4 linked regions of the Arabidopsis thaliana genome follow. The protein of the gene in region 1 binds, or shares a complex with, the protein of each later gene. Each region holds a gene or a part of one and is shown in the gene's direction. Other genes may lie near its edges.

The links.
Region 2: AT2G43030 (region 1) and RPL15 share a complex: the UniProt entries of both Arabidopsis thaliana proteins name them as parts of the 50S ribosomal subunit.
Region 3: AT2G43030 (region 1) and AT5G65220 share a complex: the UniProt entries of both Arabidopsis thaliana proteins name them as parts of the 50S ribosomal subunit.
Region 4: AT2G43030 (region 1) and emb1473 share a complex: the UniProt entries of both Arabidopsis thaliana proteins name them as parts of the 50S ribosomal subunit.

What each region holds. Positions count from the first base shown.
Region 1 is NC_003071.7:17,891,376-17,898,581, forward strand, and holds AT2G43030 (Ribosomal protein L3 family protein), read left to right. Parts: upstream 1-3,420; 5' UTR 3,421-3,522; coding exon 3,523-4,338; 3' UTR 4,339-4,507; downstream 4,508-7,206. Other genes in the region: PAO2 (polyamine oxidase 2), read left to right, coding at 570-609, 982-1,097, 1,183-1,271, 1,368-1,481, 1,573-1,660, 1,775-1,860, 1,956-2,058, 2,149-2,246 and 1 more; NPG1 (tetratricopeptide repeat (TPR)-containing protein), read right to left, coding at 4,674-5,002, 5,092-5,239, 5,330-6,540, 6,640-6,892, 6,976-7,149. UniProt on the Arabidopsis thaliana protein: One of the primary rRNA binding proteins, it binds directly near the 3'-end of the 23S rRNA, where it nucleates assembly of the 50S subunit.
Region 2 is NC_003074.8:9,488,190-9,495,741, reverse strand, and holds RPL15 (ribosomal protein L15), read left to right. Parts: upstream 1-3,086; 5' UTR 3,087-3,183; coding exon 3,184-3,267; intron 3,268-3,338; coding exon 3,339-3,702; intron 3,703-3,994; coding exon 3,995-4,146; intron 4,147-4,240; coding exon 4,241-4,474; 3' UTR 4,475-4,687; downstream 4,688-7,552. Other genes in the region: AT3G25940 (TFIIB zinc-binding protein), read right to left, coding at 1-20, 106-174, 388-428, 521-638; AT3G25930 (Adenine nucleotide alpha hydrolases-like superfamily protein), read left to right, coding at 1,871-2,069, 2,189-2,280, 2,445-2,557, 2,650-2,710; AT3G25910 (MAP kinase kinase kinase, putative (DUF1644)), read right to left, coding at 4,788-5,906.
Region 3 is NC_003076.8:26,057,707-26,065,283, forward strand, and holds AT5G65220 (Ribosomal L29 family protein), read left to right. Parts: upstream 1-3,458; 5' UTR 3,459-3,594; coding exon 3,595-3,933; intron 3,934-4,617; coding exon 4,618-4,800; 3' UTR 4,801-4,976; downstream 4,977-7,577. Other genes in the region: TGA1 (bZIP transcription factor family protein), read left to right, coding at 1,325-1,495, 1,608-1,688, 1,773-1,832, 1,917-1,994, 2,083-2,146, 2,229-2,500, 2,589-2,816, 2,891-3,043; AT5G65225 (uncharacterized protein), read left to right, coding at 5,224-5,228, 6,493-6,536, 7,094-7,196, 7,408-7,514.
Region 4 is NC_003070.9:29,572,302-29,580,662, forward strand, and holds emb1473 (Ribosomal protein L13 family protein), read left to right. Parts: upstream 1-3,504; 5' UTR 3,505-3,695; coding exon 3,696-3,947; intron 3,948-4,255; coding exon 4,256-4,441; intron 4,442-4,641; coding exon 4,642-4,812; intron 4,813-4,988; coding exon 4,989-5,105; 3' UTR 5,106-5,579; downstream 5,580-8,361. Other genes in the region: AT1G78620 (integral membrane protein (Protein of unknown function DUF92, transmembrane)), read right to left, coding at 1,561-1,656, 1,938-2,042, 2,156-2,279, 2,427-2,680, 3,008-3,457; AT1G78635 (B3 domain protein), read right to left, coding at 7,414-8,000, 8,077-8,221.

The sequences.
Region 1 (7,206 bases):
TAATAAATAAAAATTACTAAAAAAACTACAATAAAAGATCTATATCCAATAAGAAAATTAATAATTATATTGATAATTAGGGAGCATATGCGTTATTATAAATTACAACCTAACCTACTTTACCGACCCAAAGCCTAAAAAATCCGACCTTTTTTTGTTTTCTCTCTCTAGAAGTCTCTCTGTTTTCATCTTTCTCTCTCTCTCTCTAGCTCTTCTTCCTCGTTTCTGGCTTTTCTGGGAATTTTGATCCTTTGGCCCCCATTGCTCGCTTGAATTACGAATCAGATATCGCCGATCGTCGTAGATCTGCGTTGATACTGTCCGGCTGAGTAAACAGGGTGAACAAAAACCAAAAACAGAGAGGGGGTTTAAAAATCCTGAAGAAAATCGCATGAATTTGTTTGGAAGCCTGATTTTTTCATCTTCGATTTCGAGCCACTTCACGACTTGTCTTCTCATCTTTATTCTTCATTTCTCTCCCCAGCTTAATAGTAATAATAATAATAATAATAGTAATCGTAATTCCAATAATCTCGAGAGTAATCGTTTGATCAATTGAAAAAAAAATCATGGAGTCCAGGAAAAACTCTGATCGTCAAATGCGTAGAGGTACTGTTTTCTTCAACCTCCATCGAAAAGTCTGTTACTTTTTTGTGAAATCGCTTACGGATTGTTATCGTTGATGTATAGGAAGGATCTAGGGTTCTTACTCTAGATTATAATCTGGGTAATTTGGTTTATCAAACAAAATTTGATTTTTTTTTTAATGGGTCCTCAATTTTATCCCTCGTGCTGAATTCTCTGTCGGTGATTTGATTCCTTCGTGGCGTTTACTTGTTTGGATGTATCTGCTGATTGCCACAAGTTTTGTTTTTGTGGGGTTGTTTAATTCTGATAATCACTATTGTTTCTTTGTTAGAAGAATTGATACTTTATTGGACTTTGGACGGTCGTTAATTCGTGTGCTTTGTTTTCATATAGCTAATTGCTTTTCAGCTGGTGAGAGGATGAAGACAAGGTCGCCCTCCGTGATTGTGATCGGAGGTGGTTTCGGTGGGATTTCAGCTGCTCGCACTCTTCAGGATGCTTCCTTTCAGGTTTGTGATGTTTCATGTTTTATACAATATATCCTGATAGCTGATTTTGATATCTCTTTCTCACGGTGTGGTTCTTGGTGTTTAGGTTATGGTACTGGAGTCCCGTGACAGAATTGGTGGACGAGTTCACACTGATTACTCATTTGGTTTTCCTGTTGATCTTGGTGCATCATGGTAATCTCACGGCTCTTTCATCCTGTCATTAGATGATGTTTTGGTTTTGGTTTTTGGTTAACTTTAGGCTAACACAGCAACATCGTTATGTCACAGGCTGCATGGAGTATGCAAGGAGAATCCTCTCGCACCAGTTATTGGAAGACTTGGACTGCCCTTGTATCGTACTAGCGGTGACAATTCCGTCCTGTATGATCATGATCTCGAGAGGTTTGCTTGAATATTTCGATTTTGTTACCTCCATCTTTTTATTCTTGTTTGACACCTTAAAACTCACAGTGCAATTCTTTTGTTTCTGTAGCTATGCTCTGTTTGATATGGATGGCAACCAAGTTCCTCAAGAATTGGTAACTCAGATTGGCGTAACGTTTGAGCGTATTTTGGAAGAGGTATGTCCTTCACATTCATTTAGATTTCTTCTTTATTCCTATTCTCGTATTTCTTGATGTTGCAAGTCTTTGATTGATGCTCATGCTAACTAGATTCGTCTATTGCAAACACAGATCAATAAAGTCAGGGATGAGCAGGATGCTGACATTTCAATTTCTCAGGCTTTCTCAATTGTCTTTTCTAGGAAACCCGAGCTGAGGTTTGTATACATAATGTCTCATTTTCTCAATTTCTTTAGGCAATGCACTTTTGCAAGCTTGGTTTCATGGTTGAATTTTGAATTTTCACATCCAGGTTAGAGGGGCTTGCACACAACGTACTTCAATGGTATGTATGCCGCATGGAAGGATGGTTTGCCGCAGATGCTGAAACCATCTCTGCAAAGTGTTGGGACCAGGTTAGTTACATTCTTTCTCTCGTAGTTAAGAGTTTTTTTTGTATAGACTGCTTCTTGAATTTTTGGTTTAACACTCCGAGAAATGTGCAGGAGGAATTGTTGCCTGGTGGACACGGTCTTATGGTTAGAGGGTATCGTCCTGTCATCAATACTCTGGCGAAAGGTCTTGATATCCGAGTAGGCCACAGGTAAGCTTTTGCGTTTTTCAAGAGTTATGGCATTCGTTTAGTGTTTCACAGTCATAACCTCGTGTTTCTCCTTCTCTCAGGGTTACTAAGATTGTCAGGCGGTACAATGGAGTGAAGGTAACGACAGAAAACGGGCAAACTTTTGTTGCGGATGCTGCAGTCATTGCTGTCCCTCTTGGAGTTTTAAAATCGGGAACCATAAAGTTCGAACCTAAGCTACCTGAGTGGAAACAAGAAGCAATCAACGACCTAGGAGTAGGTATTGAGAACAAGATCATACTACATTTTGAGAAAGTCTTTTGGCCGAAAGTAGAGTTTCTAGGAGTGGTAGCTGAAACCTCCTACGGTTGCAGTTATTTTTTGAACCTGCACAAGGCCACGGGTCATCCGGTTCTGGTTTACATGCCGGCTGGTCAGCTTGCCAAAGACATTGAGAAAATGTCTGATGAAGCAGCTGCAAATTTCGCCGTCTTGCAACTCCAGAGAATTCTTCCCGATGCATTGCCTCCGGTACAGTATCTCGTGTCGAGGTGGGGATCTGATGTGAATTCAATGGGATCTTATAGCTATGATATCGTGGGCAAACCTCATGATCTCTACGAGAGGCTTAGGGTTCCAGTGGATAACTTATTCTTTGCCGGTGAAGCGACGAGCTCGAGCTTCCCGGGCTCGGTTCACGGCGCTTATTCAACTGGATTGATGGCAGCTGAAGATTGTAGGATGCGAGTTCTGGAGCGGTATGGTGAGTTGGATCTGTTCCAGCCTGTGATGGGCGAGGAAGGACCTGCCTCTGTACCTCTTCTTATATCTCGTCTCTAAACTCCATCAGTTATCGTTTACTAGAAGGAACCTCAAGTGATGATTGTCTTAATATGAAACTAAAATTATTCTCGTGTCGGATCGTTTAAAACATTCCCAGTCTTATTTTCTCAGTGTTTTTAATTCAATAAATTGGAACATTATATCCTTGTGATATTATTTATATATGATAATCATCTTTAAGAATTCAAGTACTATTTTCTTTTCTCACTTGTGCTAACTAATATAAACACCAATCTTGAAAGAGGTTAAATTGAATACAATAAGAAGAAAAAATACAAAATGAATAAAATCAGATTTAAAGGACCGATGTTGCAAAAGGTAAACCACCGTGTTTTGTAAATATGAGTATCTTCAGCGGTATAATAATAAATTTCATAACTGGAGAAGAAGATAAGAGTGTGGCACAGAGCTTTATCCTCTCTCAGAGTTTCTTCTCCTCTGTGAATCTCCGACAATGGCGATAGCTATGGCGGTTGTTTCTTTCCCATCTCTGCTCAACAAAACAACCTTATCCTCTTCACTCTTCACTCCCACTTTCCTCCCGGCGAAATCCTCTTCACTTCTCATCAAATCATCACCAAAAACCAGATTCGTGGTTTCATCATCCATGGAAGCTGGAATCGGAGTAATGGGGTCAAAACTCGGGATGATGAGTTTCTTCGAAGAAGACGGCACAGTAGTTCCAGTAACAGTCGTCGGATTCCGCGAAGGTAACATCGTAACCCAAATCAAAACCCTAGCCACAGACGGTTACGACGCGGTTCAAATCGGTTACCGTCGTGTACGCGACAAAAAGCTAACTAAACCGGAAACCGGTCATCTCCAAAAAGCCGGTACAATCCCAATGAGACATCTCCAAGAGTTCAGATTAACAAACATCGAAGGATTCGAACCGAACCAGAAGCTTGTGTTCGATGAGATATTCAAAGAAGGTGATCTCGTTGATGTAGCTGGAACCACAATTGGTAAAGGGTTTCAAGGAGGAATCAAAAGGCATCATTTCAAGAGAGGTCAGATGACTCATGGTTCCAAGAGTCATCGAGCTTTGGGTTCGATTGGTGCTGGTACTACTCCGGGAAGAGTTTATAAAGGGAAGAAGATGCCTGGAAGAATGGGAGGGACGAGGACAAAGATTAGGAAGCTTAAGATTGTTAAAGTTGATAAGGAGCTTAATGTTGTCATGATCAAAGGTGCTTTGCCTGGTAAGCCTGGGAATCTTCTTCGTATTACTCCCGCTAAAATCGTCGGAGTTAACATTCCCAAGAACTAGTAGAGAAGAGACTCTGTTTTGTTTTGTAATGTTGACTTGTGTTTATCCATTCCTTGAAAATTTGTATCGAATTGCTAAATCACAGTTTCTTTCTTAGAATTGGAGTTTTTGTATAAGTCGGAAGTATTTCTATGCTAATGTTCTTGAATTGTGATTCAACTGCGATTACAAAACTCGAAAGCGTATCCAAAATTCAGCATCTAAAGTTCTAAACATAAAGAACTAACGAACAATGTAATATATATTTAGTTTGAAGAAATTAAGAAGGTTTAAAATTGTACATGAGATGACAGACAAAAAATGAACATATGAATATAAATCTTTATGATGGATTTTTAAAGAATGGTTGAGAAGCTTTCAATAGGATCAGACTCTTCAAGCATAGAAGCAGCTTGGAAGCAATCAGTAGCATCAGCTATACGTCCATCAGATTTATGAACCATTCCTAAGTAATACCAAGCTTTTCGGTTTGTTGGATCGATCCTCAATGCATCAGAGAGCAAACTTCTAGCCACGGGGAGAGTTGGCTGATGATCTTTCCCTCTTTCGGACAATAACGCTCCAACCGCTACTTTGCAAGGAACCGATGATCCGTCTAGTAATAAACCGTCCAAGAAAGCTGCTAGCGCGGGTTTGAACTCCTTTCGTCCTTCCCACATTCGACCTGATCATTCCCAAAGATTCAAACCAAATTTGAGTAAATCAAGTAATGGATGATTCTAAGAGATTAGTTAAATGGCTTCTTGTTCTTGCCTTCTGTATGCAACATTGAAGCAGAGTATTGTTTCAGCTCTCCGGCTTTTTTCAGACAGACTTCTACGTCGTTCCAATGCGAAAGGCTTGAGTAAAGATAAGCCAAGCCATGCCACACTTCAAACTCATTCACTTTGTCTTCCTCCATCTGTGTTATTGTACAAGTTCTTCAATAAAAAAAAAAAAAGGTTTTGATTGATGATCTCAATAGATTAGAGAACAAAAGAGATTTTGAAACCTGAGAAAGAGTTCTGAGAGGTCCGAAAGATTTCCTTTGCGCTTGAACCAATGCAAGAAGGTAACGATAAGTCTCAACGGCTTCTGTTGGATTTGACTGAGAGATTTTCAGCTTTGCTTTGAGTCTCAAGAGAGGTCCCTGATCCCACTTTGCAGTTTCATCTAAAGCAGCATCAGTCACAACTTCTGCTTCTGAAAACCGTTGTTGAGCTGACAAAACAAGCGCGAGAAATCTCCATCCTTTTAACACTGACCCTCCCGTTGCATCGATGAACTCTTTGGCGTAACGGGAAGCAGCTTTTAAGTTCCGTTGCTCAGCGTATTGAACACCTAACTCAAAGATCAAATCAGGATTATTGTGCTCAAAAGCTATAGCTCCATCTAATGCTTTCAATGATTCTGATTGCAGCCGAGATCTTTCAAAATCCGATGTCGGAACCTTCGCTTGTTTCCCTAAACAAAGTCCTAACATCCTCAAACCAACGCCTTTCAAATGCTCATCCATACCTTGAGCATTGTTTATCGCTCTCTGCGCATAACCCGTACCTTCAGCAGCTAAAGAAGGCTCTTCACTGCAAAGCTTAGCAGCTAACAAAAGCGCCACAAGATCATCGGGTTGTTCGTGTTTATGCAGAGACTTTCTAAGAAGGTTAACTGCAGCACTGTTTTGACCTGCTGCACTATAAGAAAGAGCCAAAGTGTTCCAACGCTCAATACGGCTAAACACACCAGGCATTACTTCTTCAAGCTGCTTGGCGAGAACCGCGGTCTGACTACATAAAGATAACGCAAAGGTAAGGTGCTCAAACACAGACGGATCCCATTTCGCTTTCCCGAGGTTAAACTTCTTTAAAAGAATCATTAGAAGAAGAATGGCTTCTTCTATGTTGTTTCTAGGTATGTACGATCCCTCTATCTGAGAACCTAAACTCGGTGGACTCGCTTCGACTCCAGAATGTAAAAGAAAGACTGCAAAATCTTTTTGAATCCTTGCACAACAATCATTATCAAGATTCCATTGGCTTAAAAGCGCGCGTCTATAAGCAGATATGGCTTCTTGATAATCACCAGATTCTTTCCATAGCGCAGGAAGTAGTTCAACGGCGTGGCTAACGGTTTCTTGAAGTTTGTTATCCACTTGAGCATCTGGTATCCCTTGCTGAAATATCTTCTCAACAGAATCAAGAACACTCTTGCATTCATGAGCAGCCTCTACAAGACCAAAACCCAGCAAGGGAAGATTTAGATTTAAAGACTGTACCAAGATCAATGCCTCAGATTCACATTTTCAAAGGTGAAAGGGAATGATACCAGTTATTCTCCCAAGCTTTTGAAGGGATTTGGCTTTCAAGTAGATAGCTTCAAGGACCAAGTTAGCAGCATGCTGAGAAACTGATTGCTGCGGTTCACGGGGACGGTTTTTCTTAGTAGCCGGTTTCTCAAGAGGCACGGAAACCTGTAACCGCTGGATAGCTGCTTGAAGGTCGATACCTTCAAAGACACGAAGTGCGCCTTCTAAATTCCCTCTTTGGTATTCCAATCTTCCAAGAAGTGCTCTTGCTTCCTGTAACCACAAAAACAAATAAAATCTAATCATTTACTTATAAAAGTTGGTTTAATGGAGTTTGGAAAACCACAAAAACAAACCTCGAAATTGAGAGATAATCCTTCTCTCAAAGAAGATTCAGCTTCTTGAATATTTCCTTCATCAAGCTTTGCTTCAACTTCAGTTGTTTTCATGCAAATCCCATTAGCACAAAGCTGTCTGACGATCTCATCTTCCCCCTTCTCACTAAAATCCGCGGATTGATTCCCGAGCATTGTTCTTCACCTTTTAGACTAAACCCACATCAAAATTTCTGCGTCCATCCAAACATC
Region 2 (7,552 bases), on another chromosome or scaffold:
TTCTCGCATGCCTTTTTGATCTGCAAAGAGAAGTATCATCAAAAATTACAAGTCATGGATTCAGAAAAAAACACGTACATAAAAATCTGTTTCGTATAAACAAACCTTTGGTAGCTCAGCTTCTGCCTGCGTTTTTTCACCAAACAATGATATTCCTAGTTCTCTTCTGATATCCTACCAAAAGCAAAGATCATGATGAAATATTCTTGCAAGAATAACAAAACAGTCATCCATTTTTCAGGTCTGAAAGTAATCACATAGCACAGAACTGGTTTTCTACTGTGTGTGTGTATTCATAAGCCTAATAACAATTGACTAACAACACAAATCAAGAGCAGAGAGATTTTTGCTACTCCATGAAACCGAAACAAAATGTATGATGCATACCTCAGCAGAAACTGTGTAAGCTATTTCCTTGTCGATGATATCTGAACGATAAAAGCACAGCAATAAGATTAAACCAACCAAGAAACAAAAACTTTGTTTTGATTTGATGATATCAAGAAAGATTCATCAAAACCTTTTGCATTCCGTGTTGTTTTGCAATGTGGACATTCTGCATACTTGGTTGATTTCAAGACAAGCATAGTCCCACACAAATTACAGAACAAGAACTCGCTTTCTCTAGATTTCTCCATTACAGAACCTTTAACACAATGACACCAAAAAAGAAAAAAACATAACTCATCTCTACATGTCTCAATTGCTTGAAGAAATTTACAAGTAATGAGTAAAAAGATTAAGACGATCCTATGCTCAACAGATGAGTAAAGTAAGCATCTTTAAGCTAAATATCTCCATTAACATCATCTAAAATTTCAAGAGTAGTACTATGAGCATCAAAATCATACTCAGAATCGAAAGTTCGAGACTTTAAATTCCGTTAAAACCCAAAATTATAACTTTAACAAATTTTTACAGTTCTATATACTTCAAATGAGAACTAAAATGGAAAAGGAGAATCATCGAGTACCTTAGATTACAACAGATGCTTTCGCTATCACAGAGCGTCTCGGGAGAGAAGAAAAAAATCGCTAGGGTTTTTGGGATTCAGAGGTAGGAGATGCAGAGATTATAATGGGCTGGATATATGTCTGTTTGGCCCATTAACTTTTCATTTTAGCCCGTTTAGCTAATTATGTCTTTTCTTTTACCAACTCTCTCTAATGATATTTAATTATGATTAAAAATTCCGACAAAGAGAATAATGTTTTATGTCATCAATGGCGTGTATCCGGCAGTTACCAAACACCGGTCCACTCACACCATTTTATTAATGGAATATTTCAATGGAGAATTGGTAATATGTTGTAGAATGAGATCATATTATTCGATTGTTTTCTTTTTTGATATACAAATGTTTTTTTGTTAGACTTAGCATTGTCTCTATCCTAATTTGAATAAGCATATGACTAGTCTTTTGAAAATTTCAGTAAAACGTTTTCCGCAAACTCATCACAAGTTAAGCAGAATCTGAACCGAAATCTAAATGATCAAGTGATATAACATGGAGATTAAATCACTATAAATCGTTATGTAATTTCTTTAAATGATTGCATATTGTGGGATTGAACTTGAAGTTATAGCGATTTTACGCTTTTGGTTCTAATCCAAACCTACTTTGCCACTACACACGGGTTTAATATAGTATTACTTGTGTGTATAATTTTATTTTATTTTGCAAACGAGAAGAAGCCAGAATCAAGTCGTTAACCCATGCCTTTCAATTACCCAATCACCTAAGATTTTTTTTTATATTACTTCCTTTGACAAGTTAATCCACTTCCAAATATACTATAAAGTTGCACATTGACAAGAGGTTTTAGCAGAAGCTAGAAGAAGAAAGGAGAAGAAGAAACAAAGAGAGAAGATGAAGAATGTTATGCTGATTATTGACGAGAGCAACGCAAGTTATGATTTACTCATTTGGGCACTTGAAAACCAAAAAGATACCATTGAGAGCTCCAAAGTTTATATCTTTGCAAAACAGCCACAAAATTCCTTTACTCCTCCTACCGTACTTTCTTCATCAGTCGGCTTTGCTCAAATTTTCTATCCATTTTCACCTAGTAAGTCATTTTATCGACTAATTTGTTGGGAGTTTTCAATAAATATCAAATTTTCTATCCATTTTCACCTAGTACTTTCTTTTGTTGAAAATTGATCAGTTTTTATGTGTGTTTTGCAGATTCAGAACTCATAAGATTGGCTCAAGAAAAGAATATGAAAATTGCTTTGGGTATATTAGAGAAAGCCAAGAAGATATGTTTAAATCATGGGGTAATAATCTATTGACTGAATCATTTAACTTGTTATTAATACAATATCATATATATATTTTTAAATACCAAAGTTTTAAAAGAAAAAAATGAAGTTCTTTTCATGACAACCATTTGTTGCAATATTTTAGTCTCATGATCTCATCATAATCATGTTGAAAACAGATCAAGGCAGAGACATTTACTGATGATGGAGACCCTAAAGATCTAATCCGCAAGATAATTCAAGAACGAAATATCAATTTAATAGTTACGAGCGATCAACAAAGTCTCAAAAAGTAAGAAACATCTTTTAATTTCAAAATATCAGTTAAAAAACTTAGTATTGATGGAAAAGTTGAGATAACAAACATCTTTTAATTAAATGCAGGTGTACACAAAATACAGATTGTTCTCTTCTTGTCGTGAAGAAAAGACTTCGCAAAGATTAAAGATTAAGGAAGTTACAAAATTCACCAATATATATAATTTTCTATGTGGTTAATTGAGATTGTGTAATGATTTGGGGTTGTAGTTTCAGGTGTTGATTTGGGGTTGTAGTTTGAACTTATAATTGTGTTATGTGTATAAATATTTGTGTTTATATATATCAAGTTAGTATAAATACTATAATTTCTTATCGTTTCTTTTATTGGCACTGGTGTCTTGATCATCCCGACTAATTCAGACATGAGCTTATCTGAAAACCCACTTTGGACACAAACGAATTGATACGAACGAGTAACGACTCTTTTATTGAAAACGAAAAGGCCTAAATTTGCTGTGAAAGGCCCAATAAACAATTAAGTGATTATGTAAGACGATGTCGTTTAACTCTTAAGTTTCTCAAGAAAGTTATCTCTCTCTATCTATCTTCCTCAACCTTATCCTTGAAGCTTTGTTTCATCTGTTGTTCCCTGTGACCATGGCTACTCCACTCTCAATCTCATCAAATCCTCTCACCTCCCGCCATTGTTACCGTCTCCACTTATCTTCTACTTCATTCAAGGTAATCTCTCATTCTTCTACAAATGTCAATTTTGAATGAATCCGTAAAATTGGAATTTGAAATGTGTACAGGGAAATGTAAGTGTTTTGGGGGCAAACCCAAGTCAGATTCTATCTCTGAAACTCAACCAAACCCTTAAAACGAGAAACCAACAGCAATTTGCGAGACCCCTTGTTGTGGTTAGCCAAACGGCGGCTACGTCGTCGGCAGTTGTAGCTCCGGAGAGATTCCGTTTGGATAATCTTGGACCACAGCCAGGTTCGAGGAAGAAGCAGAAGAGAAAAGGTAGAGGTATCTCTGCAGGACAAGGAGCAAGTTGTGGTTTTGGTATGAGAGGTCAGAAATCAAGATCGGGTCCTGGGATTATGAGAGGCTTTGAAGGTGGTCAAACTGCTCTTTATCGTCGTCTTCCCAAACTTAGAGGAATCGCTGGAGGTAAAGTTTTGTTTTTGTTTGGTATCCAAGTTTTGTGTAGCCCAAATGTTCGATGAAATGTCTCATCCAAAAGGCTCTGTTTAAATTTGGTGATGCTGCTTTCAGTTTTATTTAGTTAGGGCACATTTGTTTCATAGATTTAATATTGGGTAAGAGAGCCATGAATTGACAACTATGGATCAAGATTGTAGTTAGTGAATAGAGATATTTCATGGTTCGATTTTGCTAATTAGCTCAAACCAATAGAGATATATTTCTGATGCATCGTTGCGTTACTGTGTTCTTTAAACAGGTATGCGTTCAGGATTACCTAAATACTTACCGGTTAATATCAAAGACATAGAAACAGCTGGGTTTCAAGAGGGAGATGAAGTGTCATTGGAGACATTGAAGCAAAAGGGTTTGATTAATCCTTCAGGGAGAGAAAGGAAACTCCCTCTTAAGGTTAGTTTTCCAAACTTGTTGATCCTACTTCTTTCGATTGTGCTTTCGTCTTTTCTTTCTTTATTTAAACGTTTTGATTGGTCTTGGATTTCAGATTCTGGGTACAGGAGAACTAAGCATGAAGCTCACCTTCAAAGCTCGTGCCTTCTCAACACAAGCAAAAGAGAAGCTTGAAGCTTCAGGTTGTACACTCACTGTGTTGCCGGGAAGAAAGAAATGGGTTAAGCCATCTGTTGCAAAGAACCAAGCACGAGCAGATGAATACTTTGCCAAGAAGAGAGCTGCAGCAGCAGAAGCAGCAACTTCAGAGCCAGCAGCCTCTGCTTAAATTACTTCAGTTTCAAGCTCTTTTTAGTGTTGTAAAGCTGCAGAGAAGATAATTGTCTATGACAAATGTTAATTACAATTCCTTTGTCTTTTTGTATGGTGAAGAGATTTACATTTTGTTGTTTGAAGAGTCATTATCAAAAAGATATTTAAACGGTAATGAAATATTGAACATTTTGTTTCCCAATAGTAGAAACTTTTTTCAATCTCCAAAGAAATTTTACATAATAGGGTTTCATAAGTGGGGTTATTACTACAAGGTTTCCCCCATTTTATCATAAACTCCAAAGACCAAATTTCCAAACTGCAGAGCATCACGGTTCTTCTTCTTCATCATCATCATCAATGACAGTTCTTCTTCTAGAACGACGTCTCCGAGTTCCAGACACTTGTTCATCAGAAGATTGATTATTCTCCTCATCTCTAGGTGATGTTCCTGTATTACCTTCATAGCTCTCTCCCCAAAGACTTGCAGGTCTTGAAGATCTTCTTCTCCCACTTGTATGTGTCCTAGCTCTAGATGTACCAGACCAGCTACTACTCCTTGAGCCACTCGATTCTGGTCTAAACACGCGGATGAGAAAGTACACTGTAAGCAAGCGAGTATCAGCAAATAGAAACCCATCATCGTTACTTATTTCATCTCCTCCAAAAGAAGATTGGAGTGTGCTAAGTAAATCCCCTAAATCGCTCTGCCTTTCTAGCCTCCTCCAGCTTCTCTGTCTCTCTGGATCTGCTTCTGATGGCCTAACTCCTGGATGTAGAAGCCTTGCGTGCTTTCTCAGATCGGAATAGCTTCCACTGAAATCACAAGTCTCACAAGAACAGCTTCTATGTTTTGAGTTCATGAAACATCGAGCTGCTTTAACAACTACCCATTCTTTTATATGTCCACGACATAACGGACAAGTAAGCTTTTGTGGTTTGTTTTTTTCTTGATCTTCTTCTGTTGTTACAATTCCTTCTTCTTCTTCTTCTACTACTACTTCTTCTTCTTCTTCTTCTACTTCTTCTTCTCCTCTCTCACCATCACTTAAATCCACAACTGTTATCTCAGATGCAGCTTCTCCTAATAGATTTACAGCAGTTGAGTCTGAATCCACATCTTCCATCTCAGTTGGTTCATTACTTTCCTCTTCCTCACGAAGTAAAGACAAAGAAGGTTTCTCTTTAGAAGCTTTGCGGAACTGATCGAAACAGTTAGAATGCCGATGGCTAGTGTCGCACATGTAAGGTCGACAACCATTTTCATAAGAAGAACAAATGAGAAGAATCCCATTGTGAGGATGTTCCATACAAACAGGACAACGAGCCTCTTCCCATTCCTTAACTTGTTTCTCACTCGGCTTCAAAGCAAGGCTTGCCTCACAACACAGTGGCGATCGTTTATACTTATCAAGAGATACGGACCGTTCTTTCCTCTCTTTCGGCATGTTTTGGAACTAGTAACAAACAAAGTAACCTCCAGGAGGCTAAACCTGCAATAAGTAACCTTCTCATAAGCAACATCAAACTGAAAATTTGTAAATGCTAGTAACAAGCCTGAAAGAGGAATACAGTTCTTAAAAACCAAGATTAGCAAGAGATCTATATGATAAGCTTCAATAGTCATATATACAAATTGCAATCGCACAAAACCTGAGTTCATCGCCTAATCGGATTGAGAAACAGAAGCAAGATAAAAAGTCTAGTCAAGAGATTAACCTAAGCAACGAAAGTTTCAAACTTTGTCAAATCGGATCAGCTAATACTTCAATCAACGAAAAACCCAGATCAAAATGTATTCATAGAAGCAGAAAAAGTGAGAATCGTAAACGCAAATGTTGGAGAAACCCCTATAACGCGAAATGAAGAGAGAGTGAGAGATTCGTACAAGAAGAAGAAGATGAGATCACCGAAAGAGTCTTCGAGAGCTTTGTGGAGATGATCGAATTGATATAACCAATGGAGGAAACCCTAAATCGGGCTCCTCATTGAGAGAGCTAACGAGAAGAGACGAGGAGGATGAGGCGGCTACTTTACTTTACTTTTCTTTTTTCTTCAGAGATATATAAATAATTTAGGAAACTAATAAATAATTTTATTCGGTGTATAAATGTATTTAAGGAAACAAAAATGAAATTAGAAAGCCGATAAAAAAATGAAATTAGAATTTTTTTTTATTAAACTTGTATTTAATTATTATAAACTAATGTTACTTTATACAAAAAAAAAAATTTGAAAACATGTTAGTTAAATTTATTGTTAATTTAAAGCAAAGTGTGTGTAAATGTATTTTATCTATATCTTCAATTCAAAAGATTAGATTTTATTTATTTGTTTGGATTGTAAATTTGTAATTGTACAACTACAATCTATCTCTTCAATATCGGCTAACATAACAAACCGATCCGGTTCAACAGTTGGTATGGCAGGTTATGTGTAAACAGAGTTCAAACCGGTTTAATCATAATAGAGCTATCAGCTATGTATGTAGTTACTCTAGTCATTATATGTTTTTTAGGATTTATGTGGACATGGACATGGGCTTTTATAGAGCTATTATCATGATTGGGCTGAGAACAAATTTGTAAGTCTAACTTTCACACTATTTCATAAGAAAATTAAATCAGTGGACTAGTAGTACAACACCGAAAAGAAAGAAAAAAAAAACTCCTATTGGGTGAAAATATATAATGAACATAAATCGAATTTAAAAGAAATTCAAAATTAGTCCAGTTGGGTATAACCCGTATAACTAAAATTACTTATAGAAAATTTATATATCCTGAATATACAAAATAAACCCCAAAATGGAATTTTTAAAAAATGTTCCAAAGGAAAAATAGTCCGATTGAATGTTAAGAAATAATATTCTTATCAGTTTTAAATTAAGTGTGTTTTAGACAAATGTTTTATTGAAACTAAGTATCGTTTTATGAAAAAGAAAAAAATATATATATATGATTCAATATGACTTTTATAAAGAAATATCTCATTTGTCCCTATTTAAAAATAATATAATATAATATAAAATTACAATAGTCAAAAAAAAATTGTGAATGTTCGGAATTATACAATAGTCAATATGAAAGCCACG
Region 3 (7,577 bases), on another chromosome or scaffold:
GAAACCACAGAAACAAATAGAAAAAATAGTTAAATATATAAAACAAATATAAAATAACTGCGTCAAAGGTCTCATTTAAGTTGTCGTGATTCTTCTTCCTTCGTCTACTTGAAGATGATGAAACCTGAGTTTCTGAGACAGAAGGAAGAGCTTTTAACATCCCTTCTGTTTATGGTCGGATTCCAACTCCGGACTTCTTGGCTTTAACCCTTTACGTCCGATCTTGTCGCTGAAATCTTTCTTTCTCCTTTTACATGGTTTTCACGACGACAAAAGTTTGCCTTTTTCTAGTTGCTGCCTTGACTTCAGATAGCATCACAAGGTTCGGCTTCAGATAACATCACAAGGTTTGATTGACTTTGCTCTGTTCTAATCTAATCTTGTTAATATCTTAAAAGCCTAAAACTTTTCTCTTATTGATTGTTTTGGTTAATTTTGTTTCCCCTTTTTTTTGTTGTATTTACTCGATTGATTACTTCAATATGATTTTCTGGTTTGCTTGGAATTTAAGCTGGAAGGAACTGATTCGAATATTTCTTGCATAAGAAGATGTTTCAATCTACCTATCTATTGACTTCATGATTGGCTTTTGCTTTTATTGTTGATATCTCTTACTATCTTGATTTCACCTTTCGTTACCATTTGCGTACAAAAATTTAACAAAGCAATGAATGGGAATTTCTTATTTTTTGTATAGTCGTTTTAACTGCTAAACTATGTTAAGTTGGTCCACACAATTAGGTGCTGAAAATAAAGTGACATCCTAATAAGTGGAAACTTGACTTATGGAGCTTTTCGTCTGCTTAACATTAATTTTTATCATCTTATCTATTTGACACCTTCCAAACACTATTGGGGAAATGGCTTCTTCTCTTTTTTCCGGTGTAGGTTTAAGGTTTTAGATTTGAAGGCGGATGGTGAGGAGTTTGTGTTGATGAAATGGGTGATTTGAAGTTAAATCCTTTAAGTTCTTTTAGCCTTAAGTTCTTTTAGCCTGTCATTACAATATATGTTTCAGTTGTGATCTTTTGGTGCTCTCCAAGGTCTTAGGGAATCTCCGTGTCCCCTCTGGTTTCTTTCTTTGTATAAAGTCTCTGGAATTTAAAGATGATTTTGTCCTGTTTTCTTCGAAGAATTTGGCGAAGAAACATCAAAAGTTCACTATTTGCTTTACGTGTTATGCTTGTTTGACTTTGTGTGATCTAACTTTTGGTTGAAAACTAATGCTCATCTTTTGTTCTTTGGAATGTCTTGATCTGCTTGATTTTGAATGCTTTGTCACATTGTTTAAACAATTTGTTCTTTGTTTTCAGTTGAGGAAAACATGAATTCGACATCGACACATTTTGTGCCACCGAGAAGAGTTGGTATATACGAACCTGTCCATCAATTCGGTATGTGGGGGGAGAGTTTCAAAAGCAATATTAGCAATGGGACTATGAACACACCAAACCACATAATAATACCGAATAATCAGAAACTAGACAACAACGTGGTACTTTTTTACTTCATTGCTCTTCAACCTCCTGATGATAAATTTGTTTGGTCTGTTTTCAGAAATTTAAACTAGCTTTCATTTCTTGACAATCTTTTTTTTTTTTTTATAGTCAGAGGATACTTCCCATGGAACAGCAGGAACTCCTCACATGTTCGATCAAGAAGCTTCAACGTCTAGACATCCCGATAAGGTTAGCTATTCAAATACTTCTCTATCAGTTTCTTAATCATAAATTTCTACGCATCATATAGACTAAATCGTTATATCGTTACAGATACAAAGACGGCTTGCTCAAAACCGCGAGGCTGCTAGGAAAAGTCGCTTGCGCAAGAAGGTATGACTTCATTTTCTTCCCCTTGGTAAACTGTTTCTGTTTGCCTAATGAGTTGAGAGATTTGATTGTTTTTTTTTTTTGCAGGCTTATGTTCAGCAACTGGAAACAAGCAGGTTGAAGCTAATTCAATTAGAGCAAGAACTCGATCGTGCTAGACAACAGGTTAATGAAATGAAATCTAAATATATATTCGCTTTCTTTCGAGTTCCAAAATATAATGCAATTTCTGATTGAATATGAATGTTTTCAGGGATTCTATGTAGGAAACGGAATAGATACTAATTCTCTCGGTTTTTCGGAAACCATGAATCCAGGTTTTGAATCAAGAACAATGAGTCTTTTGGAAAAAATATAGAATTCAAGATTTTGATTGGTGGAAGCTTATTTGATTTGCAGGGATTGCTGCATTTGAAATGGAATATGGACATTGGGTTGAAGAACAGAACAGACAGATATGTGAACTAAGAACAGTTTTACACGGACACATTAACGATATCGAGCTTCGTTCGCTAGTCGAAAACGCCATGAAACATTACTTTGAGCTTTTCCGGATGAAATCGTCTGCTGCCAAAGCCGATGTCTTCTTCGTCATGTCAGGGATGTGGAGAACTTCAGCAGAACGATTCTTCTTATGGATTGGCGGATTTCGACCCTCCGATCTTCTCAAGGTATAAAACAAATAACAATCTAGCGTAATGTTTAATGAATAGAAGGAAACAAGCAAGATTACAATGTTTCAAATGTTTTTTTTTGTAGGTTCTTTTGCCACATTTTGATGTCTTGACGGATCAACAACTTCTAGATGTATGCAATCTAAAACAATCGTGTCAGCAAGCAGAAGACGCGTTGACTCAAGGTATGGAGAAGCTGCAACACACCCTTGCGGACTGCGTTGCAGCGGGACAACTCGGTGAAGGAAGTTACATTCCTCAGGTGAATTCTGCTATGGATAGATTAGAAGCTTTGGTCAGTTTCGTAAATCAGGTAAAATATATATATTCAAACTCATTTGAAAATACTATAGTATCAGTTTCTTGATTTTGTTTGTTCATTCTTAGGCTGATCACTTGAGACATGAAACATTGCAACAAATGTATCGGATATTGACAACGCGACAAGCGGCTCGAGGATTATTAGCTCTTGGTGAGTATTTTCAACGGCTTAGAGCCTTGAGCTCAAGTTGGGCAACTCGACATCGTGAACCAACGTAGGTTTGAGTTATTTTGTAACAACCAAATGAAGAAAATGGAAAGACCTCAAAAAATGAAGAATGAGTGCATCTGAAAACAGAGGACTACTCTGAATAAATAGAGGGGTTGCTGCTGATATTTATTTTTACTCTGCGGCGGAATTAGAAAATTTGAAAAACATCATGTATTGATAAGTTGTAAATATCAGAAAAAGGTGGGGGTGCAAAAATTTGTACTTTTTAGCTTTTGAAAGAGGCAAGTTTTTCGAATGTTTGTTTGATTTGTAAACAATTTCAGAATTATATAAACTTGGTTCCAAATCCCCTGTAATAATGTCGAGCTATCTGCAATTTGAAAACTATAGGGGCTTTACTTAATTTTACGTTTTGTGTGACACCTATTTGATTTTTTTTGATACGTTTGGACCAGTTTCGTAATTAGAGGTAAATAAAGGGGCAAATAGTAAGATATAAGAAAAGCCTTATCTCATAGAGTTTCTTCTCTTCATTATCCTCAAAATCGCTCGAGAGTGAGAACTCTGCTCTTCTTCTTCTTCCTCCGCCATAGCTACAATGCTTAGTCTCTCAATCGCTACGCCGGGGACGGCGGCGATTTTTCGTAGAGGAACTGCTTCGGCGACTTCAACTTCGTCTTCATTCCATGGTGTCAGAATCCAGCACCAGGTTTCTGCTCGCGTCCCCGCGGCGGCGACGATATCGTCGTCGTCTCCTAAACCGTCGGTGGTGATGATGTCGAAAAGAGAGGCGGAATTGAAAGAGATAAGATCGAAGACGACGGAGCAGTTACAAGAGGAGGTTGTTGACCTTAAAGGTGAGCTCTTTATGCTTCGTCTCCAGAAATCGGCAAGGAATGAGTTCAAATCTAGCGACTTTCGTCGTATGAAGAAACAAGTAAGCTTTTTTCTTACTCTTTAATGCAGAATTATTCCAAATTGTGAAATCTACTTTGTGTTATCTGGTCGATTTTGGCAGTCTTTGAAAGGGTTTAACAAAATTGGGATATGTGGTTTATTGATGGAAACATTGAAATCATCACCATGGAAAATAGGATTATTTAATATGAAGTTGTAGAAGATGTTAGCGAACTCTATAAGCAATGTTTTGTGTTGTTTGTTCTACACATTATAGTTGATTCTAAACTCTAACAATGGCAACATTGTAAGTTACTGTTTTGTGATATCTAATACTGTTTTTGGTAGGTGGTGGAATGGAATTAGAGATTTAATATTGAGTTCAATCCATCCCCTTTTATAGATTCTTGCACACAAGCTTCGAATATGTTCTTAGGATACTACGGTTTCAGTTAGACATGAATGTTGAGCTTTGCGATATCGTTTGTTTAGTCTTTTAAGTGTGCCAATGCACCAAACTAGCTTTAGATGAGAATTTACTTGCTTTGGTTTTACTGATTGCTGGGATTTCAATCAGACATGAATCTTGAGCTCTAAGTGACTAATCCACCCAACTTAGCTGGAGATGACACTAAATTCAAGTAGAGATTTCTTGGTTTTTTTGGCTTACGTCCGTCTCTTTTCTGGTACTGAAGATGTGATCTTTTGGTTGTGGGTGATTTAGGTTGCTCGGATGTTGACGGTTAAAAGAGAGAGGGAGATCAAAGAAGGGATAAAGAAAAGGTTGTCGAGGAAACTTGACAGACAATGGAAGAAAAGCATAGTACCAAGACCACCTCCGTCTCTGAAGAAACTTCAAGAAGAAGAAGCTGCAGAAGAAGCAGCTGAAGCTGCTAAATCTGCTTGAAAAAACCCGCTATTGATTTATGGTCTCTTCCTTGTTGTTTCCTCGAGATGTTGTTAATCTCTGTTATTTGTTGCTGAACCATCTTGTATTTGTTTTTCTTTTGGTGTAAACACTTTCCTTATCAAGTAGTTTACATGAATCCCTTAAAGATTGAAATCGTTCCTTCATGTTTCATCAGAATTATCATCCAATCTGACAAAGAAACTAGTAATCATTCGAAGTTCGAAAAACATCAAATAAGAATAAAGATAAATAAATAAAAGGAAAAATCCAAAACATTGGCGGGAAAATTAGGAATTTATTGAGGAATCAATGGTGGGCTTAGAAATAGAATGGTGCGTTAAAGTTTCTGTCTTTGTGTGCGTAGATGAGGTATTCGGTGGTAGATTCCGGCTGGGTTTGGATTTTTTTTCCGGCGAGTCTATGAGGTAAAGTGATATTTCTTACAGATTTTAAGGATTCAACTAATACGATTATGTTTCCGATGATGTTTCTTGTTTGGGCATGAAACCCTAGATTTCAGCGATTCACTTTCAAAATAAAATCCGTTTATGCAATCGAATGTAGTAGAAAAATCTCATCTTGGTAAATCTCATTGAGACTTCATTGTTAGTTTTTTTTGTTAGTCAACCAACAATGGGTTTGGTTTTTGTTTTACTATTTTTGTCCTTTTCTTATTAGTATATTGAAGATCTGGCCAATAATTTTTCTGACTCAGTGGTGTTGAAATCTTCTTTCAGAAGTGGGGACTAGTGATAAAATAATCTCAAATTAGTAGTTTCTTCTCTTTGTTTTTTCTTTTCTTAAAAGTTTGAATACGACTGATATAAACATAGTTCAATAAGAAGTCATGTTTCGTTTACTAGTAGTTTGCTATCGAGGCTGCTATATATGAGTTCTTGACAGGTATGTAGTCATTTCTGGAAGCCAACAAACCTGTGAGATACTGAGATGGTTGTTAATTTAATGTTTTTGATTTGAGATCGATGCTCTTGTTAACTAGCAGTAGTAGATTTTCACATGTTGATTTCTCATTACCATTGTAGTTGGATAACAAAACTGTTGATATAGCAATGATCGGACCACGATGATTCACCTAATACCTTATATTACAATTAAGTCAAAAGATCTATCTGCCCACAACTATTTTAAATGACTAATGGTCAAAACTGTGTTTTTTTTTTAGTGCAAAGTTTATCTGAAGTTGAGTTTGACAGCTGCATTGTGCTGTTCACATACATCAGTTTACACTTATCCTGCATTTTAAACTGACCAAAAGTCGTCAACTTTTCAGCGTAGATTTGTGAGCTATGCGGTGTTATGTTAAGTACAAGAGACTTGAGACAAAAATTGCATATCTAAAGGTGATTTATGAGATTTGCATATGAATAGCTTTGTATGTTTTATTTGTAACTATTTTTCTGAAGACCTGTCTTACCAACTCCAGTCATGTGCTTTGCACAGCTTTCTATGATGCTTTTGACACGATTATTTTATTATGTAAGTGTCTTACGTATAGTGTTCATGCAAAGATCTTTGGTACTTCTGGATCACAACATGTGACTTGCTTTTCATGCAAAAAGCTTCCTCCATGTTTGTCTTGGTCTTCTGCTTTCGTGAAAAGTCCATACTCTTTAGCCTGTTTTACTTCAACTACTATTTCCTTAAAAGCAACAAATGTTATTTATGCAGGTATTTTGGATTTTCTTTTTGTCTTCTTCTTGATGCCTGTGAAGGTAAAGATGAACAAGACCGACTCTCTTAACTTCCAGAGGTTTGTTGATGCTTCTGCCCAATCTTTTTTGTTCATTTACTATCCACTAGTTTCAGGCTTTGATTCATTTCATGAAGCAATTGTGATTCTAACATGATTTCAAGCTTTTAAAATTCTCCTCTTGATTAAGGAAAGCAGAACTTTTAGACTTTTTGTATCTTGTCACCTTAAATGGTCCTTTTCTTTTAACTTTGTTTTCTAGCTTACACTAACTGTCCCCTTTTTCTAGATGGTGATGCATATACATATGTACAATCTCTTAAGCTTGATAAAACATATAGATAGTTATTCTCTATGAGCATTTCGACTGACTAGTGCTATCATTATAAAAATGCAGTTTGCTTGGCTTAGACCAATATGTTTAAGGTGGATTGTCCAAGTCCTTTAGAAAGCCTTCAGTAAGAACGGTAATAGGCCTTTTTTTGCTTGTGTTCACTTCTTATATCAAAGTCAGACCAATGTGTTGATATAAGCACTACTTGCATGATTGCATCATTCTCATTTGGATTGAATCTGAAGATTATTTTGGTTGGTTCTTACCTCCTTGTGCCTTTTCAGCTTCTTGGATCTTCTATGGAGATGTCCTTGTTCGGCTTTATGGATTGGTTTTAAGAAATCTCAGGTTAGATAATGCAAAGGTACAACAATTCAATACATGTTTTTCAGTAGCATCATTCTTTCCTAGTTCCTACCATTGGAGTGAAGTCAATACAGATTGTTTGATTATTAAGTTAAAAAGTGCCTTCAAACACCTTAATCTTGTAAATACAATTGTCTTTACTTGCATGTGGAATATATCAATCTCATCAATTCTGGCTTGCCTATATCAATAGGTGCTATGTGACACAGTCCAATTGGCTAATTTTAGTTGTGACCACCAAGCGTAGAGCCATTAATGATTACCACTGGTTCGATAGATACAATGTTATACATTGTTCAGGTGTTGCTGCTTCTAAATTTTGTTCTAATAATCTTCATTATTGTCTGTCTTAGGACTTGTTGC
Region 4 (8,361 bases), on another chromosome or scaffold:
AGTAATAAGGAAATAAAATTATCTAATTAAAGTATGACGCGTGTAAGCCAATCGCTACCACACAGCTACAACATCATCACTTTGAAATTTGGACGACACACAGAGATCCTCTTCTCCCTCTCTCTCTCTGTGTCTTAATATTATTATTTTTTCAATACCAAACTTTGGCAAAGTTCGAGAAGAAGATGGGAACTTACTCACGGCGAACCATTTAGGTTTTTATTATTTCGTCAAACTTTGGCAAACTAATATTTGTTTAGTATACATTTTGTTTTAAGGATATCGTTTTACATATTTTGTTTGATTCTACGCTAGCATATAGTATTTCAAAAAAAAATCAAATTATTCCATTTTTGGTATTGTTTATTAGGTTAGGTTTGTGCCTTTGTGGGGAAGGGACATTCGTCACATGTATGAAGGACTCACGCAAAACGATGAATATTGTATTTAATGGCTTAGTTAGATGTTGTCGTAATTAATAATAGGTTATTAATTTTTAAAGTAGTTCTTTTAGAACTTAATAAAGAATTAAGCATATTTTAGAACTAGATCAGTTCCAGAAATAAGAAAGTTACAAACTTACTACTATTATCGAGACAGTAGTAAACCCATGTTAGAGAATTTAACCAAAAAAGTGAAAAAACATTGAAAAAAAGTAAGAAAAAGGGCAAGCAAGAGTCTTCTTCAGGCGCGCCGTGGCGGACATTTGACTTTAAGAAAGAAAAAGCGAGATTTGCGCTGCGGCGGTGTAAAAATCAGTCGTAAAATACACGCGTTTGAGGAGCGCGTGTGAATTTTGACACTTGTCAGCTGTGTGTTAGACAGATGTTGCGGCCCATGGGCCATTGTCGTATCTTATTGCGGACCACAGGTTCGTAGAAGCAACGCATTGTATAATTTTTCTTCATGTTTCATAAGTCTAAAAGTAAACAAGCCTGTTAAGTCTCGCTGTCTTGTTTAACAGCTAGGCCGATGGATGCATTTTTCTCTAGAGGCTTCTAAATTAAAATTGGCCACCAGAAACACTATCTTATGCAACGTCGAGAATATTGCTAAAGATGACAGGAACAAGACATAATAATGACAAAAAAGAAGAATGTATTCGAGAAAATCACGACTCTTCGACGACTTCTTTCTCAACCAATTCTTGGTACTTTGTTGTTGCCTTTTCTTCAAACTTTTTTCTTACATTTTCATCACTACTTTCTCTATTTGCTACATAACTTTTTTTACATGTTCTTCAATTTATGATGTCGCAATAGAATTTGGACTTCATGTGAAGGAAATAGAAGAAATCACGTGAATGGATCCCTAAGCAGAAGAAATTTTATAAGTTTCTCTATCTACGGGACAATTGCAAAGGCAAACTTAATTCACATAAATATCATCCAATAATTGCTAGACAATGGTCCCAGAAGTTTTTTCCCCTCATTGATGTTGGACTACTAGTTGTACACAACAGAGTATAATTTATAACACCACTGAATACGTAAGGCTGTGTTTAACAATATAAAAAAAGAATCTAACCTCACTGAGAATACATGACCTTCGTGGCAGGTTTTACTTGACCCAGTTCTGGAGTATAAACTGTTGCATCAAAATCGCCACAATGCTTCCCAAGCTTATGTTGATCACGTTGACTACATCATTGTTTAGCTACACATAGCAAAATAGTGACTAACATGAGACAGAATACAGTCGAGATCATTGCATTCTTGTTTAGTTGGTAACTAATTGCAAGGAATGGATTCATAAGACGAAAACTTCAAAATTCTGTATTGAATGGAAATCGTTTTCCACTCAAGCCAGTTATCTATCAGTCTTTCTGCAAGAAGTGACGGTATATTCATTTGATTATCATCTTCTTGCATTGACAACAAGTAGACAGAGTGAGATCAATAAAACAAAAAGAAGAGAGTTCATTGAAGTGAGCATACCCATTTGAATCCTTCTTTGTCTTGAAAAGAAGCACCTATTATGCTCTCTCCAAGATTGGCAATCTGGGAAGCTAGTACACATACAGCTGCTTCTGGAGGAGTTATCTGTGTTCAAGATATCAAAAGGAAAAGAAGTTTAAAAATCGTGTAATGATAACAGTCTTTAGTAGCATAAAGAAGCTGTGAAGGGAAATTTTGGTAGCAAATAACACTATTACCTGACCCAGGAAGCAGCCAACAGATGCAAGAAAAAATGATGCTAAAAGTCCAGCCAATGTTCCTTCAAGACTCATAGCTCCCTCTGTTCCTCTTGGTACAATCTTAAATGTCGTAGCTAAATACCTGCGAATTGGCAATGGTTAGTAAGATCATTTCAGTTGTCGATTGGATTCATGTCATGACACCACAAGTCCATGCCATACATCAGACAGAAAACAGACACAGACCATAACAGAAGAGGCTATAGCTGGATAACAGTAGCATACTCACGTTGTTTTTCCATAAGCTTTGCCTATCTCGCTCGAGACAGTGTCAGATACTTTAGTGCAGAAACTGGAAACAAAACCAAGCCGGAAAAGCTGGGAAAAAGCTGCTCCTCCCACTTGATATATTGAAAGAAAAGCACAGACACAACCAGCAGCACTTGAACCAATCACACTGCGTGGTCCTCTTCTACCCTTTCTCTTTTCGGCCACACCTTGTGCTTCCTTTTGCGTCATTTTAACCTTCGTTGCCGCTGTTCCCTGTGATATTGTAAATCATCTAAACCAACTTCAGCGCCAGAATCAATTGCAAATTTACTGTTACTATTTCCAGCTCTGGGGTGAAACACGATATTGAAATCTAAAACTTAAAGCATTGCAGAGAAAAGACTAAGTATCTCAATGTTGAGCATGATCAGAAAAAGTAGCTCCTTAATCTGTAAACGTGATTTAGGATCTCTAACACGTCCACAATTCCTAAATTAAACAATAACACATCTAAAATCTAAGGACATTCTTCATTCATCAGCTCGAAATCAAAATCAAAGCAGCGAATTTCTACGTTCTAAGAGTCAGTTACCGAATTACATTCAGGTTGATCACAAATGCACTTACTATGACGAAGTAAGCAGCGACTAAGAGGAAACCAGCAGAGCCATAAGCTCTCCAAGTTAAAGTACCAAGCAAAAACGCGGCGGCGATCCCAGAAGCGGACAATCCGGTAACAAGAAGCGGTGAACCGAGAACAAAAATCAATAAATTGTTAGCCACAGCTGATTTCCAAGTTGGTGACGCCGATTGAATCAGTTTCATCGCCTCCGTCATCACTCCTTCCATCGATGCAGCCGCCGCCGTAGCACCGTCGGCTCTACTTCCCGACGAAAGCATTCCGTTGGAAAGTGGTTCCAGATTACGTCGTCCAAATCTGTAAGATCTAGCGAATGGAGAGGAAGAAGAAAATCCCGAGAATTTTGGGAATCTTAGTGGTAAAGCTGATCTAGAAGAATTTAAGAGTAGAGTTGACGAAATCGTTGCCATGACTTAGCTTGCTTCCGAAGAAGACCTTTCTCTCCTATTGAGAAAAAAAAAACAGTATTTCGGGTTGAATCCGGAGCTCCGAAAAAAACCCGGATCCTTAACCCGTGTTGTGTTTATTTTTCGGTCGTATTCATCAGATTATTTACGGTGTTGCCACTACTACTATTTACTGAGAACCCAATCTTATCCGAGAAATCGGAAAGAGCAGAAGAAATTTGCAGAAGAGAGAAAAACAAAAATGGCGGTTCTTTGCTCGTCTTCGACGGTGATACTCTCTTCTTCTTCCGTGAAATCCTCCGGAAGTGAGAGAAAGTCTCCGTTTTTAGGGTTCTCTTTAACGGCTATCTCGAAGCCGTCGGTACGAGTCGGCATTTATGCGAATTCGAAAAGAGGATTGCAAGTGAAGTGTGAAGCTGAGCCGACGACGACGACTTCTCTTGTTCCGGCGAATCAACGATGGATGTTCGACGAAGAAGAAGCTAATGGCCCTGTAACGATAATTTTTCTATCTCCCTCTGTGTTTAGCATCTACGCATTTATAAAGTGTCGCACTTTAGCTCTTGCTTTGAATTTGAAGTATGGCTTGTTTTTTTCTTCTCCCAATTGCGATTTATTAAGTAGTGGATTTTGCCTTTGACTCATTAGCTGTGTTGTCTGCATCAATTGGCTTCGAAAATTGATGTTTATTCTTCTGAATTTGTTAACTTGGACGTTTTATGAAATTATTAATGTTTGGTTGGAGAGAAGTTAAAAGTCTTTGGCTTGAAACCTTTATTGAGTGTATTCTATGGTTTACAGGACATCTGGAACACGACATGGTATCCAAAAGCTTCAGACCATGTGAACACGGACAAGCCCTGGTTTGTGGTTGATGCAACTGACAAAATTCTTGGTAGATTGGCATCGACAATTGCTAATCACATCCGTGGGAAGAATCTTGCCTCTTACACTCCTAGTGTCGACATGGGAGCTTTTGTGATTGTGGTATGAGTTTCTTTGAGCTATCTGTAGAGAATAAGAAATTTGATGTGCTGCTTTAGTTAATTTCTTCCTGAAGGAGGAGCCTTGGGATTTGGTTTTAGTAAGATTCACATTAGCAGCAAGATGTAGAGCCTCTATGTAGATGTTTGGGCAATGCTTGTAACTTGGTACCTCTAATACTGTTTTCAATTGTTTGGTTAAAGGTGAATGCTGAGAAAGTTGCTGTATCTGGAAAGAAGCGTAACCAAAAGCTGTACAGGAGGCATTCAGGACGACCTGGTGGTATGACAGTAGAGACATTTGATCAATTGCAGCAGAGAATTCCTGAAAGAATCGTTGAGCATGCTGTTCGTGGAATGCTTCCAAAGGGACGGGTTAGATACATAATCCACAGCTCTTTATTAGTCTCCTTTAAGTCTTAACACTTAGCAAATCCGTGTTTCTTCAAACTTATGGATTGAACTTGGAAACTACTTGTTGCGATATTGGTATTGATTGATTACTAGTTTTCCAACTCCCTCTTAACTTTGGTCTGACCATTTTGTGGCAGCTTGGGAGAGCTCTGTTCAATCACCTGAAGGTGTACAAAGGCCCTGACCATCCTCACGAGGCCCAGAAACCGCTTGATCTGCCTATCAGGGACAAGAGAATACAGCTGCAAAAATAGAAGCTCCACCACTGTTCCATTATCGCCAAGCGCAGAGAGTTTTTTCTTCTCAGGTTTCTGTAGTTTCTTCATCCCAAAACCAGAGGAGGCTTTACAGATTCTTGTTTTCGCTTCTATCAACTCTGTTATGCTACAAAACTTTCTAATTTGAAATATTTCTCGTTATTTTTTTTTGCTACTGAATATCTTCTTCAACATGAAAAAGATGACATGTAATGAATACAAATGCCATAAGCAACAGTAGTCACCATTAACAAAAACTTCCTCTTCAATTGGTAACAAACCTTCCCAATGAGATCACAGATGCAAGGAAAATCTAATATTCATGCCTTAATCGAGTCATTACTTAAAACTGAAATTTTTAATGCTGGATCCAAAATTTGAATGTTAAATATACATAATAATAGGAAATACAATTTGAATGTTTGGAATCGCTAACGACTAATGCTAGATCCAAAATCCGGTTAGTATTCATATCATTATGTAAATTTTGCATCCAAATAAATTTAAAAACAAACAAACAAACACAAAAGATTTTTAAAATCCGACAATAAACAAAATCAAAATTTTAAAAACTATTTTTAAAAATCCAAATAAAAATCTTGAATGTTAAATCTACATAATAATATGAAAACAAGTTGAATGTTTGGAATCGCTAACGACTAATGTTGGATCCAAAATCCGGTTAGTATTCATATCATTATGTAAATTTAGCATCCAAAAAAATAATATTAAAACTATTTTAAAAAATGCGAAGTAAAACCTTGAATGTTTAATCTACATAATAATAGGAAAAACAAGTTGAATGTTTGGAATCGCTAACGACTATTGCTGGATCCAAAATCCGGTTAGATTTCATATCATTATATAAATTTAGTATCCATTAAATAATATAATTTTAAAAAATAAACACATGAAAAAAGATTTTTAAAATCCGAATAAACAAAATCTAAATTTTAAAAAGTACTTTAAAAATCCGAATGAAAAACTTGAATGCTAAATCTACATAATAATATGAAAACAAGTTGAATATTTGGAATCGCTAACGACTAATGCTGGATCTAAAATCCGGTTAGTTTTCGTATCATTATATAAATTTAGCATCCAAAAAAATAAAAACTTTTAAAATAACAAACATAAAATAAATCAAAATCTTTATTAAAAAAAAAAAAAAAGAAAAGGAAATTAAGAATCAACGAACCTGACTCATGGTGGACTAATTATGACTCTCTCGGCATGACTCATGGATTGTTGTTTACTAAAGCCCATTCGTTGTAATCTGAAGCCCATCTCTTCGTCTTTGACTTGGGCGGAAACTGCAATTTTTGATGATGAAGAAGATCTCGCTTTTCAGGTCTGAAACTCTGAACCACCGAAACCCCAGATCTCGTCGTCACGTTCACTCGCGATTCTCTTTGCCCGAAATAGATGCATCCAGATTTTGCGTCACGTCAGACTCGTTTCTAGAACTCAAAGTAATCTTCCTGTATAATTAGCCCGTGATCGTCAAAAATTGATCATACACGAGAGACATCTCTCGACATGGCGTTGGACCAACGCGGCAACGCCGTTGGTACCGTTCAGCGATGTATCCGGATCATCAATTTCACGGTCACGAGATATCAGCGATCGTATTTGTAAAACAGTCGCAGAGAAAGAAAATATTTTTTTAGGGTTTAGAAGAAGGAGTAATGATTTCTTAAGGAAAGAAGAAAAGATGAATACTATTTATAAGAGAGAGGTTCACGCAACAAAAAAAAGGAAACATCAGATTATTATTTTCCTTTTTTCAAATTTGGACTTATAATAAAAAAGGAAATTGATCATGATTACAACGGTCTTATTTTTCTAACTGCAAAAGGTTAAGTGTTGGAATTTTTTTATACAACGGTCTATCCTTCACGCGCCTACGCGCGCATCATCCTCGCCGTATCTTCTTCTCCCGAGAATTCTCTCCGGTCAGTCATGCCTCCAATTCACCTTTTCTCGAAGCTTCCCTTCCAAGTTCAGCTTCTTCCGCCGCCAGTTCCACTTTGATGAAGAATTCGCCTTTGGTAAGTTCCAAATTCCTCTTTCTATCTGATCAAATCTATCACGAATCAAGAATATATAGCTTGTTAGGGACTAATTGGTGAATTCAACTTGAGTTTTACAATCAGTCTCTCTTTGAAGTTTTTATTATGCATTTCAAGTCATTAACAACAATCAATGTTTGATTACATGAAAAAAACTTCCTCTACACATACGCGTTTCTGAATGAGATCACAAAATGCAGATATTCTTAATACAATGGAGATTGATTACTGTATTAATAAGCTTCTTTTTCTTCTGCTGCAGGAGCTTTTGCATTTACACGAAAAAGCACACTAAAATGAAGCTTAGAAGTAGAGCATTCCCAGAAGAGACCAATCATGTCTCCTTCCTCCAACCCTCTCCTTTTGACAAATGTTTTCACCCAACCATTCTTTAGAACATAGCTACACTGGAATGCTAGACATAGCTCGTGCTCAGTGTCAGTATCGTTGTCGTATACCTTAACCGTGATTCCGGGCTTGCCTTTGTCTATCTTTTGGGAATCTTCTGGAAGGAGATGCTTGAGAATGTGCTCCTCAACAGAGCTTTTTGACAGAGTAAGCCGTTGGCAAGCATCGCTCTTGGTCAGTTCCTTCTTGATGGTCCAGTACTGTTGCTCCTCCTCATTTTCTTTTTCCTCTTTCAAGATAATCTTTGGATTGGTAGTTGTAGGCACAGTCTGAAAATTTGCTAGACTGGTATCGTGAGTATTTGTCATCGAACTTGTGTCGACAAATCCAGGATTAGGGATCATCAAAAACTGCCCAGAGATTCTTTGTGAGCCAAGCGAAAAGTTAGTCTGGTATCTTCTAGACAGATTACCTGCAAACAAAGAAGAAGTGATGTTATGAATTATATGTGAAGCATATCTTTGATTTGCTAGCTGCGATGTTATTACTTTCGATGTAATTTGGGTTCTGCGAGAAGCTATGATGACTCTTTAAGGCTTCGTCTGTGTTCAACGGAGACGTCCCCTGCTGCTCTTGGCTCATAAACGTCTGACTCTTCTTTGCTGAGGATTTAGAGAGGACGAAGAGAGGCATTTTCGTATTATTTTATGGCAAGAGAAAGGATCTTGAGTGGTCTTTTCGTGGTGCTTGGCTCGATTCTTCTTTCACGGAGATAGAGATCTATGTTCCTTGGTTATCAAGAAAGATGACTTCTGCGATTCTTGGCTTATATT